2 linked regions of the Anolis sagrei genome follow. The protein of the gene in region 2 purifies or fractionates together with the protein of the main gene of each other region. This does not show direct contact. Links are inferred from orthologs where the notes say so. Each region holds a gene or a part of one and is shown on either strand. Other genes may lie near its edges.

The links. Proteins that work in one complex are often made in the same cells at the same time.
Region 1: the proteins of IRF2 (region 2) and IRF2BPL purify together in Homo sapiens (affinity purification with mass spectrometry; 3 studies listed by BioGRID and IntAct, counting the BioPlex papers as one, with this or other methods). This does not show direct contact. The link is inferred for Anolis sagrei from reciprocal best matches to the Homo sapiens genes IRF2 and IRF2BPL.

What each region holds. Positions count from the first base shown.
Region 1 is NC_090021.1:306,537,253-306,544,608, reverse strand, and holds the start of IRF2BPL (probable E3 ubiquitin-protein ligase IRF2BPL), read left to right. Parts: upstream 1-4,304; 5' UTR 4,305-4,917; coding exon 4,918-7,119; 3' UTR 7,120-7,356. UniProt on the Homo sapiens protein: Probable E3 ubiquitin protein ligase involved in the proteasome-mediated ubiquitin-dependent degradation of target proteins. Through the degradation of CTNNB1, functions downstream of FOXF2 to negatively regulate the Wnt signaling pathway.
Region 2 is NC_090025.1:66,334,762-66,341,873, reverse strand, and holds the start of IRF2 (interferon regulatory factor 2), read left to right. Parts: upstream 1-4,100; 5' UTR 4,101-4,663; intron 4,664-7,112. UniProt on the Homo sapiens protein: Specifically binds to the upstream regulatory region of type I IFN and IFN-inducible MHC class I genes (the interferon consensus sequence (ICS)) and represses those genes. Also acts as an activator for several genes including H4 and IL7.

The DNA of each region.
Region 1 (7,356 bases), on a different chromosome or scaffold from region 2:
GGCATCTACGGACAATCATGACTCTTTGGCTTAGAAATGGAGATTAGCACTACCCCACAGAGTTTAACTCAGCTAGACTCAATGTCAAGGGGAAACCCCATCTTGAGCCAAAAGGAGAGGCAGGTAATAATAATAATAATAATAATAATAATAATAATAATAATAATTTGGAAACAGAAGATAGATGCCTTAACACCAGGGTGGAGTGTGAAGGTAGCCTGAGACATCTAAAAGACTGGCACAAAAGAGAATAATCCCTCTCTGGGAAAAGCAAAGCTGGAAGAAGCCTCAAGATCGAAAAGCTACAACAAAAGTCAAATGAGGACATGGGCACTGGGGTGTGTTTCTAAAACAGATATGATTAAAGCATGGTTCTTTTCCAGCTCTTCCCCCAAGGATCAATACATGCTGCAGTTCAAAGGAAGGGAGACTGAAATGCAGTCAGAGAACACATGATCACCATCAGGGCAAAATGGGTTTTTAGAGGAGGTACCAGAGTGGAAACCAGTTTGCTCTGATTTCACTGCCTGCACTCAGCTGGCAGGTATCCAGTTTGCTTTGCATTTAACTGGGCTGAGTGAAGGCAAAGACTTTATTTAAATAGACCTCCAACTTTTCCTGACTGAACATGACATGCATTTAGGTGGTTTTTTTAAAAAGTCATTGTCCTAAAAGTGGTTTTCCAATTGGACTGATGGTTTCATTAGAAAACCCAAAATTTGTATGTACCCCACATTATTTTAGCTGTTCCATTTTACCTTATACTGTAAGGATACAGGGCAAGTCAATGAACTGCAGCAGACGCTTCTCCACAGCACTCCTGATCTCACAATTATGCTCTTGACCCATTTAGGTGGGACTTTTCAATGAAAGGCTTCCATTCAAGCATCCCATTGGCCAGTCTCTCACTCTTGAGAATTGAGGCAGGATTTCTGCAGATCATAAGACCAAACCCACAGGAGTAGGTAGGGCAAAGGCTTCCGGATGCTCTTCTACACGGTTTCTCATGGCCCTAAATACTCTCAAAGGGTAGTTAGAATGTCTCCACTCTCTGTGTCCTTTTACAGAGGGATGGCCTGAGCTTAATAGCATCACCTGCTCTAAGATACATCTTCCCAAGCTTTTTGGTGGCTATTTACTCCCCAACATGCCAGTCACAAGTAAAGGTTTCCCCTTAAGTCTAGTCATGTCTGACTCTGGGGAGTGGTGCTCATCTTCATTTCTAAGCCAAAGAGCCAGCATTGTCCGTAGACACCTCCAAGGTCATGTGGCCAGCATGACTGCATGGAGTGCTGTTACCTTCTCGCAGAAGCGTTACCTATTGATCCACTCACATTCGTATGTTTTCAAACTGCTAGGTTGGCAGAAGCTGGGCCTAACAGCGGGAGCTCACCCTGCTCTTTGGATTCGATCTGCCAACCTTTCGGTTAGCAAGTTCAGCAGCTCAGCAGTATACTAGCTATATCACCAGGAGGTGGGGGTGGGTTACTCAAATTTACTCTAATCTAATGCTCACCTTTTTTTTGGCTAAATTGCCTTGCTGAAATTAGGGTGTTAGATTTGGTGGCACATTAGACTAGAGTAAATATGGTATTTGTGCCCGTTGGTTGCAATCCCTTTCTTGGAAACTCTTCAGGGGCTGACATACTTATGAATAGTCACTAGACCATGGACTGCCACTTTGACTAGGATGGCTCTGAAAGTTTCCTTGCTATGACATGATTGGCCTGGGGATCCCAGCTTTGGGACTGACCCGCTCAAAGTTTTTTAAAGGGAGGCTAGAGAGAAAGACATCAGCCCAGCAAGCTTAAAGGAAACCCCACTGAGTGGAGCCCAAGGCCTCAGGAATTGTTCAGCTAAGTGTTAGACCACACTCTAGAGAGCAATGTTCAAATTGTTGCTCCACTGTGGAATGGCATGGCTTTAATAACTTTAAACCCAGTTCAAAACAGATAATGTGAGATTTTCGGCCTTGATATTCTGTGATGTATGACTGTTTGGAAGGGCCTGAAGCTTTGCAGACAACATCTGGAGAGCCAGTTACCTGTGCCTGATGTAAACCCAGAATATTATAGGAATTGTAAAAACTACAAATGCTAATTGTTGGAAGTTTTGTGGCTGTAAAGCAAGCTTAAGTGGTCGAGGGGGAAAAGGAAGGGGTGTGAGGCTGCGAGGAATAGTGGGAGTTGGAGTCCAAAACACTTGGAGAGCCCAAGTGTGTCCATGCCTGCTGTAAAGGGATTTGCTTGCACATATAGATAGAATGCACAAAGATAAACCAGTTCTGTCTTCTTGCAGCTAACACAATTTCAGACATCATTAAACAAGAAATCACATTTTCTTACTTTCTGTATTCTTGGGGAACAAAAATATTGCACCGTAAGTAACTACTTTCCTTGTGTAGCTACTCCTAGCCTAAAAACTGCCCCAAACTGAAAAACAAGTGACATCTTGATAGGGAATTGATAGCAGCAGGTGAAACATGGATGGAGAAGCTATGATATTTTGAGACTAAAAAAAAAGACACCTAAATGCCACACCTTTTGCTGAAAGATGGCTTCCCTTTATTGACTAAGTAAACAACAAACACAACATTTATGAGTCACAGGACCACTGGACAATGGATTAATCTTGACAAGCAATTAATATACAGTACCTACCTTGACTTCCTTCTCTTCTTGGCAAAGCTGTTTCGCTTTTTAACGTATGAGCTTTAATATTGTAGGCTGATGACTGTCATTTTCACAGCAATCTATATATTGTCATATTGTAAACTTAGTATTTTTTTAAAAAAAGGTGAGTTAGAAGAGAGGAAGAGAAACTGGATAGAGTAGCACTCATGGCTGGTATTTTTTTTTTTTGTAAGACCTACAATCTTCCATGGGATACTCAGCCTGAAAACAGAATGGTGATACATTTGAATTAAGTAAAGGAAATTGTAAAAGTTTCCCCTGACATTAAGTCCAGTTGTGTCTGACTCTGGGGGTTGGTACTCATCTCCATTTCTCAGCTGAAGAGCTGGCGTTGTCCATAGACACCTCCAAGGTCATGTGGCCAGCATGAATGCATGGAACACCGTTACCTTCCCACTGATGCAGTATCTATCTAATCACATTCTGCATGTTTTCAAACTATAGTGGCAGAAGCTGGGGCTAGCAATGGGAGCTCACCCCGTCCTGCGGATTTGAACCACCGACCTCATCAAGACCTGCAGTTTAGCAACTCTGTGGGTGGTGGTGCTCATCTCCATTTCTAAACTGAAGAGCCGGTGTTGTCCGTAGACACCTCCAAGGTCATGTGGCCAGCATAACTGCATGGCGTGCCGTTATGTTCCTGCTGAAGAGATACCGATCTGCTCACATTTTACATGTTTTCGAACTGCTATGTTGGCAGAAGTTAGGGCTAGCAATGGGAGCTCACCCTGTCCTGCGAATTTGAACTACCGACCTTCAAGTCATCAAGATCTGCACCTTAGCAACTCTGGGGGTGATGGTTCTCATCTCAAATTCTAAGCCGAAGAGCCAGCGTTGTCCGTAGACACCTCCAAGGTCATGTGGCCAGCATGGCTGAATGGAGCACCGTTAAGTAAGTAGTAGCCCCCCTATTGGCACCCCTCTTCACACTCAAGGCACCAGCATTCTTTGGCAGAGAAGGCCAAAGACTTTGTAAACTACATAGCCCTGAGCCGCGGCAGTTTAAAGCGGTATCAGTCTGCATTAAATCTCTATAGAGGTCTACCCCCTCCCCGTCTTTCTGATTTGCCATCCATTTCACTGCAGGAAAAGGAGGCCACGCAATTGTCAGAGATCCAAAGGAGGCTTTCAGAAAGCGAAAAGGTGGGAAATCAAAACTACATCTCTCTCTCTCTCCACCCCACTCCCCCCCCCCCCCCCCCGCAGACTTTACCCCTGCTTTCCTGGCTGGGTTCGGCTTTGGGGAACCTGCCATGGCGGAGACAGAGCCAGGCGGGAGGGAGAGAAGGAGGAAGGGGGGAGGGAGGGAGGGAGGGAGGGAGAGATCTCATGTTTGATTTTCCAAACATAGCCCTCGGTGTGTGAGTGAGCGAGGAAGGAGGGAGGGGAGCCTCCCTCGCCTCCCAGCAGCCACTCAGCTGTTGTACACACCCGAAGAAGGCGGGGGAGGGAGGGGGGGAGAAGAGAGGGAGAGGAGACGTCGGAAACGGGCAAGCTGCCGCGCATGCGCAATCCCCGCGCAACAAGTGGGCTCCCTGTCCTCAGACACACAAGAGAGGAAGTGGCTGCCAGCGGGGGGAGGAGAGGGGAGGGAGGGGGAGAGAAGGAGGGGCGAGCAAAGCAGAAGCTGATCGGTCAGTCAGTCAGCCGGCGCTCAAAAGGGGAATCGCAAAGGCTTACAAGGAAGAGGAGGAGGGGAGAGAGAGAGAGAGAGAAAGAGAGAGAGAGAGAGAGCGACGGGGTGACGTAGGCAGCCCCGCCCAAGGGGGCATCCGAGCGGAGGGCGCGAGGAGAAGAAGAAGAAGAAGGAGGAGGGGGAGGGGCTGAGGCGCGCGCGCGCAAGAGAGAGAGAGAGAGAGAGAGAGAGAGAAGGCGAAAGAGAGCGTCGCGCAGAGAGTGACACTCCGGCTTCCCCCGATCCGAATTCCGAGGATGTGAAGCCGAGGAGCCTGAGCAGCAGCAGCAGCAGCATTAGAAAAGAAGCGGAAGTGGCGGTGGAGACAAGATGCCGCCCTGAGGCGCCCTTGTGTTGTTGCCAAGCAGCCGCGGCGTGGGTCCCTTTCCCCCCCGCAGCCCCGAACCCTCGCGGAAGGGAAGAAGGCAGGAAGTGCGGGTCGGCAGCCTCCCTCGTGAAGAAGAGGAAGGAGCCGGAGCGGAGAAGGCAAGCGAGGCAAGGAGGGCAGTCCCGAGAGCGAGGCGGGAAGGCGACGCGTCCTCTTCCGCCATGTCTTCGGCGCCGGTCTCCTCCTCGCGGCGCCAGTCGTGCTACCTGTGCGACCTCCCGCGGATGCCGTGGGCCATGATCTGGGACTTCACGGAGCCCGTCTGCCGCGGGTGCGTCAACTACGAGGGCGCCGACCGCATCGAGTTCGTCATCGAGACGGCGCGGCAGCTCAAGCGGGCCCACGGCTGCTTCCAGGACGGGCGCTCCCCTCCCGTCGGCGCCGGCGTCAAAGCGTTGCCTCTCTCCGCCAAGGAAGCGGCGGTGGCGGCGGCGGCAGCGGCTGCGGCGGCGGCAGTGCAACAGCAACAACTGAACCATGTGGACGCCTCCGCCTCGAAAGCGCCTTCGGGCCTGGAGCGCTACGGGCTGAGCGAGCCTCCGCGCGGGCGGTTCGAGTACCCTCCGCCGCCTCCTCCGCACGCGGCGCGGCTCCCCAACGGCCTGGGCGGGCCCAATGGCTTCCCCAAAGCCCCCGACGACGGGCCCCCGGAGCTGAACCGCCAGAGCCCCAATTCCTCCTCGTCTTCGTCCGCGTCGTCGTCTTCCCGGAGGGGGACGCACTTGGGGGGCGGCCTGCCTCAAGGAAGTGGCGGCGGCGGCGGGGCCCAGCTCAACGTCCCGCCCAACTTGCTCCCGCAGACGCTGCTCAACGGGCCGGCGGGGTCCGGCGTGGCGCTGCCCCCTCCTCGCGGCCCCCCGACGTCCTCCTCCTCGTCCACCTCCTCCTCTTCGTCCACCTCTTCCACGTCTTCCTCCTCCTCCGGGGATCCCTGCGGGAAGCGCCCGGGCTCGGTGTCCTCCTCCTCGGGCGGCGCGGAGGCGGAGCGGGAGCTGAAGGAGAAGCAGCGCAACGCGGAGGCGCTGGCCGAGCTAAACGAGAGCCTCCGGAGCCGGGCGGAGGAGTGGCCGGGCAAGCCCAAGCTGGTGCGGGAGACGCTGCTGACGCTGGCCGGCTGCACGCCCTACGAGGTGCGCTTCAAGAAGGACCACGCGCTCCTGGGCCGCGTCTTCGCCTTCGACGCCGTGGCCAAGCCCGGCCTGGACTACGAGCTCAAGCTCTTCGTGGAGTACCCCGCCGGGTCCGGCACCGTCTTCGCCAGCGCCTCCGGGGTGGCCAAGCAGATGTACCAGGACTGCATGAAGGACTTCGGGCGGGGCCTCTCCTCCGGCTTCAAGTACCTCGAGTACGAGAAGAAGCACGGCTCGGGCGACTGGCGCCTCTTAGGGGACCTGCTCCCGGAGGCGGTGCGCTTCTTCAAGGAGCCCGTGGGCGCCGACATGCTCCCGCATCCCTTCCTCGACGCCGCCTGCCCGATGCTGCCTTCCGCCTTGGTGGGCATGCCGCGCGGGGCCGGGACGCCGTCGGGTCGCGGGCCCGGAGGCTCGGCGGGAGCGGGGAGCGGAGCCACCGGCTTGAGGAAGAGGAAGGCCTCCCCGGAGCCCTCGGACTCGGCCTCGGAAGGCAAGCTGAGCGAGGAGCAGCAGCGCCAGCAGTGGATGGCCAGCCAGAGCGAGGCCCTGAAGCTCACCATGGCAACGGGGGGCTTCCCTCCCCCTCCCCCGCCACCCCCTCACTCCCTCCGGACCACCCCGCCGGAGTCGGCCCCACAGAACGGGCAGTCGCCCATGGCAGCGCTTATGTCCGTCGCAGACACGTTAGGCAACGCGCACTCTCCCAAGGACGGCAGCTCGGTCCACTCCACCACTTCCTCTTCGTCTTCTTCCTCGTCCTCGTCCTCTTCCTCGTCCACGCGCCGGAACAGCAGCAGCCCGGTCTCTCCCGCCTCCGCGCCCGGCCCACGCCGCTTGGCCTCCCGCAACGGGGAGTTGAGCATGGCCCCGTCTTCCGCGCCCCCTCCCCCGCCTCCCCCTCCCCCTCCTCCGCCCAGCCTGGACCCCAACCACCCTCCCAACATCCCCGACTCGCCCATGGCCAACAGCGGACCCCTGTGCTGCACCATTTGCCACGAACGCTTGGAGGACACCCACTTCGTGCAGTGCCCCTCGGTGCCCGGCCACAAGTTCTGCTTCCCTTGCTCGCGGGAGAGCATCAAGGCCCAGGGCGCCACCGGCGAGGTCTACTGCCCCAGCGGGGAGAAGTGCCCCCTGGTGGGCTCCAACGTGCCTTGGGCCTTCATGCAGGGCGAGATCGCCACCATCCTGGCCGGAGACGTCAAAGTCAAAAAGGAGAGGGACCCCTGAAGGTGGTGGCGCCCCCTCCCTTCCTTCCTCCCCTCTCCCAAACCCCTTCCTCTTCCTCCCCGAAGATGTATTATTGTGAATAATAATAATAACAATATCCAAGACTCAAACGAAAAAGACCTTTCTGCAAACAGTTTTAGGCTTATGTATAGACCTTACCTTTTCGTCGTACGTTTCTATATTTTGAAACAAAAGGTATGTAACCCTTCTTGGTTTGAAGGATAGAGAGAGATGTTG
Region 2 (7,112 bases):
CAGCCCAGACTCTTTTCCATGCTGCCCAGACCATCCAGTCCAACTCCCTTCACCAGTGAAGGAAAACTTAATCAAAGCCCTCCTGACAAAGAGCCATCCAGCCATAGATATAGAAAGATATATATATGATTCACACACATACAGATATAGTATCATAGATTTGAGAGAACTCCTAAAGAAGGACAATTATATGTTACATGTTCCAGAGTGGGCAAACCAGACAATCTCCACATCAACACTGACAAAAAAAAACCAGCAAGAAATACTGTTTACTCACAAGCATTAAAAAATTACATATATTCGAAACCAACACTTTCTAATTACTTTATTTTCCAGATCACCAGACTGGGCCGCAGCAACGCATGGCAGGGGACGGCTGGTATATATATAAATTTAATGCTCATTTGAGGGGGAAACATAACTCAGAAACCACTGGATGGATTGACATGAAATTTTGACAGAATACACCTAATAGTCCAACAAGTGTCCATCACCCCTAAAAACACATTAAAAAACCCAGCAGACCAGACTTTAACCCCCCCCCCCAAATAAATCATATATACACATTCATATACATATACACATGCATACATATATATATGTGTGCGTGTGTGTGCATTTGGGCCTTTGGACTGAGAGGGGCGGTATATAAATATGGTAAATAAATATACACAAGCACACACAAATATACACACATACATATACACCTACCCACACATACATATACACATACATACATAAATATATATATCCACTGTTTAAAATCGTGAAAGAGGATGCTGTCAAGGTGATGCATGCCACATGCCAGCAAAAATGGAAAACACAAGAATGGCCTTCAGACTGGAAAAAATCAATTTATATCCCCATACCAAAAAAGGGAAATGCTAAAGCAGGGGTCCTCAAACTTTTTAAATAGAGGGCCAAGTCAAAGTCCCTTAAACTGTTGGTGGACTGGATTATAATTAAAAAAAATGAATTCCTATGCACATTGCACATATCTTATTTGTAGTGCAAAAAACATTTTAAAACAATACAATAATTAAAATTAAGAACAATTTTAACAAATATAAACTTATTAATATTTCAATGGAAAGTGTGGTCCTGCTTTTGGCTGATGAGATAGGATTGTTGTTGTTGTTGTGTGCTTTCAAGTCGTTTCAGACTTAGGTTGACCCTGAGCGAGGGCCGGATAAATGACCTTGGAGGGCCGCATCCGGCCCCCGGGCCTTAGTTTGAGGACCCCTGTGCTAAAGAATGCTCAAACTTTTGTACAGTGGCTCCTATTTCTCATGCCAGTAAAGTAATGCTCAAGATCCTGCAAGGAAAACTCCAGCAATACACGGAGAGAGAGTTGCCAGATGTACAAGCTGGGTTTAGAAAAGGCAGAGGAACAAGAGACCAAATTGCCAATATCCGCTGGATAATGGAGAAAGGCAGGGAGTTTCAGAAAAACATCTATTTCTGTTTTATTGACTATTCTAAAGCCTTTGACTGTGTGGATCATAACAAACTGTGGCAAGTTCTTGGTGGGATGGGCATACCAAATCTCCTTGTCTCTCTCCCGAGGAATCTGTATAGGGACCAAGTAGCAACAGTAAGAACTGACCATGGAACAACAGACTGGTTCAAGATTGGGAAAGGCGTACGGCAGGGTTGTATACTCTCACCCAACCTATTCAACTTGTATGCAGAACACATCATGAGATGTGCGGGGCTTGAGGAATGCAAGGCTGGGGTGAAAACTGCTGGAAGAAACATTAACAACCTTAGATATGCAGATGATACCACTTTGATGGCCGAAAGCGAGGAGCTGGGGAGCCTTCAAACAAAGGTGAAAGAAGAAAATGCAAAAGCTGGGTTGTAGTTAAATATAAAAAAAATCAAGATTATGGCAACAAGAATGATTGACAACTGGGAAATAGAGGGAGAAAACATGGAGGCAGTGACAGACTTTGTATTCCTAGGTGCAAAGATTACTGCAGACAGGAAATCCTAGGTGCAAAGATTACTGCAGACAAGCGTCTCCTGATTTCCTGCAGCCAGGAAATCAGGAGACGCTTACTTCTTGGGAGGAGAGCAATGACCAATCTTGATAAAATAGTGAAGGGTAGGGAATCACATTGGCAACAAAGATCCTCATAGTTAAAGCAATGGTATTCCCCACAGTCACCTATGGATGTGAGAACTGGACCAAAGGGAAGGCTGCGCGAAGGAAGATAGATGCTTTTGAACTGTGGTGATGGAGGAAAGTGCTGAGAGTGCCTCGGACAGCGAGAAGATCCAACCAGTCCATACATCAGGAAATAAAGTCCAACTGCTCATTGGAGGGAAGAATAGTAGAGACAAAGTTGAAGTACTTTGGCCACATCATGAGAAGACAGGAAAGCTTAAAGAAGACAATGATGCTGGGGGAAATGGAAGGAAAGGGGAAGAGGGGCCGACCAAGGGTAAGATGGATGGATGGCATCCTTGAAATGACTGGCTTGACTCTGAAGGAGCTGGGGGAGGTGACAGCCGACAGGGAGCTCTGGCGTGGGCTGGTCCATGAGGTCACAAAGAGTCGGAAATGACTGAACAAATGAACAACAACAATATAAAGAAGGTATATCTTCCAACTTCATAGAGCTGGGATTTTCGGTGGACCACAGTATGCTTGTTGTGGAACACACTCGTTTTCAAAGGTATTTTAAGAAGAAAAACTGCCTTGGACAGCGAGAGGATCCAACCAGTCCATACTTCAGGAAATAAAACCCGACTGCTCATTGGAAGGAAGGATATTAGAGGCCAAGATGAAGTACTTTGTCCACATCATGAACAGACAGGAAAGCTTAGAGAAGACAATGATGCTGGGGAAAATGGAAGGAAAAAGGAGGAGGGGCCGACCAAGGGCAAGGTGGATGGATGGCATCCTTGAAGTGACTGGTTTGACTCTGAAGGAGCTGGGGGTGGTGAAGACTGACAGGGAGCTCTGGCGTGGGCTGGTCCATGCAGTCACGAAGAATCGGAAAGGACTGAACAAATGAACAACAACAACAACAAACACATATATATATATATATGCATATACACAAGTCAGTGAGAGCCGTTCAGCAGTGGAACTCTCTGCCCCGGAGTGTGGTGGAGGCTCCTTCTTTGGAAGCTTTTAAACAGGGGCTGGATGGCCATCTGTCAGGGGTGATTTGAATGCAATATTCCTGCTTCTTGGCAGGGGGTTGGACTGGATGGCCCATGAGGTCTCTTCCAACTCTTTGATTCTATGATTCTAAGTGGACACACATACACAATATACATATACACATATAAACACCGAAATACACAAATATATACACACATATACACACACATGGAGCCCCCGGTGGCGCAGTGGGTTAAAGCACTGAGCTGCTGAGCTTGTTGATCGAAAGGTCGCAGGTTCGATTCCGGGGAGCGGCGTGAGCTTCCGCTGTTAGCCCTAGCTTCTGCCAACCTAGCAGTTCGAAAACATGCAAATGTGAGTAGATCAATAGGTACCGCTCCAGCAGGAAGGTAACGGCGCTCCATGCAGTCATGCCGGCCACATGACCTTGGAGGTGTCTACGGACAACACTGGCTCTTCGGCTTAGAAATGGAGATGAGCACCACACCCCAGAGTCAGACATGACTGGACTTAATGTCAGGGGACTACCTTTACCTTTACTACACACACATATACACAAATATATACTCACACATAAACAGATATACACAGACTAGGCCACAGCAATGTGTGGCAGGGGATAACTAGCAATATAATAATAATACATTTTATTTATACCCCGCCACCATCTAACATGAGGCCAAGCCCAATAATAATACAGCCAAGTTAAACACAAAATAACAGAAAGTAACAAAATAAGTAACAAAATAAAACAAACAGTGCAAAACAATATCATTATAGTGTAATAGGAATGACAGTAGGCCCTGCATTGTAGAATGAATGGAGTTGGAAAGTGCCCTGGCTCAAGGCTGGAAGGGATTCTGGGCACCAGGGACGAGAAAAGGGCGAAAGGCCTTGCCAAACTACAACTCCCATGCTGCTGAAATGATGAACCCGGAAGGCGCTCCCAGGCGAAGCCATTGCAGGGAAAGAAGAAAGAGGGAGAAGAGCAGAGGAGGCTGGCTTTCCCTCCTGGAAAGGGGAAGTGAGCCTGGCTTTTCCGCCCTGCTTCCCCTCCCTCTTCCTCCCCTTGTGTTTCTCTTTCTCTGGCTGGAGGGAAGTGAAAATGAAATCGACTTTTCGGAGAAATGATGAAAGCGGCGCCGGCTGCCAATGAGCTTCTGCGGCAAACTTCCGCACCTCTTTCTCCCCTCCTCCTCCTCCTCCTCGTCGTCCTCCTCCTCCCCGCACAAACAAGGCCTGGGAAGAAGGAGAAGGAGGAGAAGGAGGAGAAGAAGAAGGGGAAAGGGAAGGGGAGCCCGAGGAGCCCAGGAAGGGAAGAGGGGCCAGCCAAGGGCTTGGCTCCCCCCAAAGCCCGGCGCCCGCCTTGTTTTGCTTTCGATCTGGAGTCACTCGAGGCGGAATTAACTTTTAGTTTTGCTCCCGCCGCCGCCATCCAACCAACCCGGCCGCCTCTTTCCCTTTCCATTTCGCGTCTCTTGGCAACCGAGGCAACCTTGAGGAAGGAATATCTGCACACCATTCCGGGTAAGGAAAGAGAAACAACCATTGTTTTTGGAATCTGCAAGCCGAGGGAGACATTGATTGATTATTTTTCCTTTCCACATCTCAATAGGAGCACGTGCCAACTGCTTTGCATCTCCAAAGGTTGCCATCAAAACTAGGGGGATTTTTAAATTTCACTTTTGGATTTGCATTTGGAAGGAAAGAAAAGGGTTGGGCTGCTAGGATTGGCTATAGACTCAAGGCCCTTCCAAGCAGGCCCAGGATCCGATCCCAGGTTTTCTGTTTGTCCCAGATTATTTTGCAGTGGAGACTCATATAGCATAAAATCTGGGATCAGATCCTGGGATATAAGGACAGTGTGGTAGAGCCCTTAGAGCCCTTCCACATTTCCTCTCTATCCCAGGATCTGATCCCAGATTATCTGTTTATCCCAGATTATCTGGCAGTGGAGACTCATAATCCAGTTTAGAGCATAAAATCTGGGATCAGTTCCTGGGATATGAGGACAGTGTAGCAGAGCCCTTAGGGCCCTCCCACACTTCCTCTCTATCCCAGGATCTGATCCCAGATTATCTGTTTATCCCAGACTATCTGGCAGTGGAGACACATATAATCCATTTTCAAGCATAAAATCTGGGATCAGATCCTGAGATATAAGGACAGTGTAGTAGAGCCCTTAGGGCCCTTCCACGCTGTCTCTTTATCCCAGTATCTGATCCCAGATTATCTGTTTATCCCAGATTATCTGGCAGTGGAGACTCATATAATCCAGTTTCAATCATAAAACCTGGGATCAGGTCCTGGGATATAAGGACAGTGTAGCAGAGCCCTTTGGGCCCTTCCACACTTCCTCTCTATCCTAGGATCTGATCCCAGATTATCTGTTTATTCCAGATTATCTGGCAGTGCAGACTCATATAATAGTATCAAGCATAAATTCTGGGATCAGATCCTGGGATATAAAGACAGCGTAGTAGAGCCCTTAGGGCCCTTCCATACTGCCTCTCTATCCCAGGATCCGATCCCAGAATATCTGCTTGAAACTGGAATAATACACTGGACATTTAAAGCAGTTCGAAACTGAAACAGCCAAGCAACCAAACTCCCGCAAAAGATGTGCATTTGTGGTTGGTACAATCACCACCCCAGGCTTCAGAGTGGTACCAGCATTTCTTTTGGAATCCTCTAGCGCAGCAAAACCCACTTCTCTTCAATGCTGGTTTGAAACCGCGTTAAGCGCTCAGTGTGGACTTTGCCAAAGTGGGATTGTGGTAGGGTTATTTCAGGGACTTGTACTGTTTTAAGCTTCCCAGAGAAAACAATGGATCCTTGTTGTTGGCCTCTCCAAGGGCCCTTCCAGCCAGGCCTTACCTCCCAGAATCTGATCCCAGGTTTTAGATTATATGAGTCCCCACTGACAGATAATCTGGGATAAAAAGAAAACCAGAGATCAGTTCCTGGGATACAGAGCCTGTCTGGAAGGGCCCCAAAAGACTATTTCCTCTACATTAGGGGCTATTCCACACAGCTTTATATCCCAGAATATCAAGGCAGACAATCCCACATTATCTGATTGTGACTCAGATAACCCAATTCAAAGCAGATATTGTGGGATTATCTTCCTTGATATTCTGGGATAGAGGACTGTCTGGAAGAGCCCTGGATTAGCATTATTATTTGAGTCTCTCTGGGCCCTTCCAGACAGGTCCAGTATCCCAGGATCTGATCCCAGCTTTTCTGTTTATGGGTTGTTGTAGGGTTTTTTCGGGCTAGATGGCCATGTTTTAGAGGCATTTTCTCCTGATGTTTCGCCTGCATCTATGGCAAGCATCCTCAGAGATAATGAGGTCTGTTGGAACTAGGAAAATGGGTTTATATATCTGTGGAATGACCAGGGTGGGAGAAAGAATTCTTGTCTGTTGGAGCTAGGTGTGAATGTTTCAACTGACCACCTTGATCAGCATTTGAAGGCCTGGCAGTGCCTGGGGAAATCTTTTGTTGAGAGGTTTATAATCTTTTGTTGAGAGGTTTATAATCCTGTTTAATGCAGAAAACCTGGGATCAGATCCTGGGGACAGTGTAGAAGGGCCTGCTTCGAAACTGGCTTGCTCTTCCCCTGCAGAGGCCTTCCAAAGCATTTTTCCCCCAACCTTTGGCCCTTTACGTTTGTGGGACTCCAACTCCCAGAAGCCTCAGCCAGGTTGGCCAATGGCGAGGGATTCTGGGAGTTGGAGTCCTCTTTTTGGGAAGAGGCAGGAAGGACAGCACTGGCTGGCTTGGGAGGGAAGAAGAGTCTAATAACGACCACTTCTTTAACAACTGGAGATTTGGCGAGAAGCAAGGGAGGAGGGAAGGGCTTGTGGGTGACCCCACCCGCAGAAGGAGGTTCTGTGTTACACAAGCCTGGCGCGCGGTCACTTCCTTTTTCTCGGCCGGGTCACGCTGTGACGTTGACGCTCGGGCTGGCCAA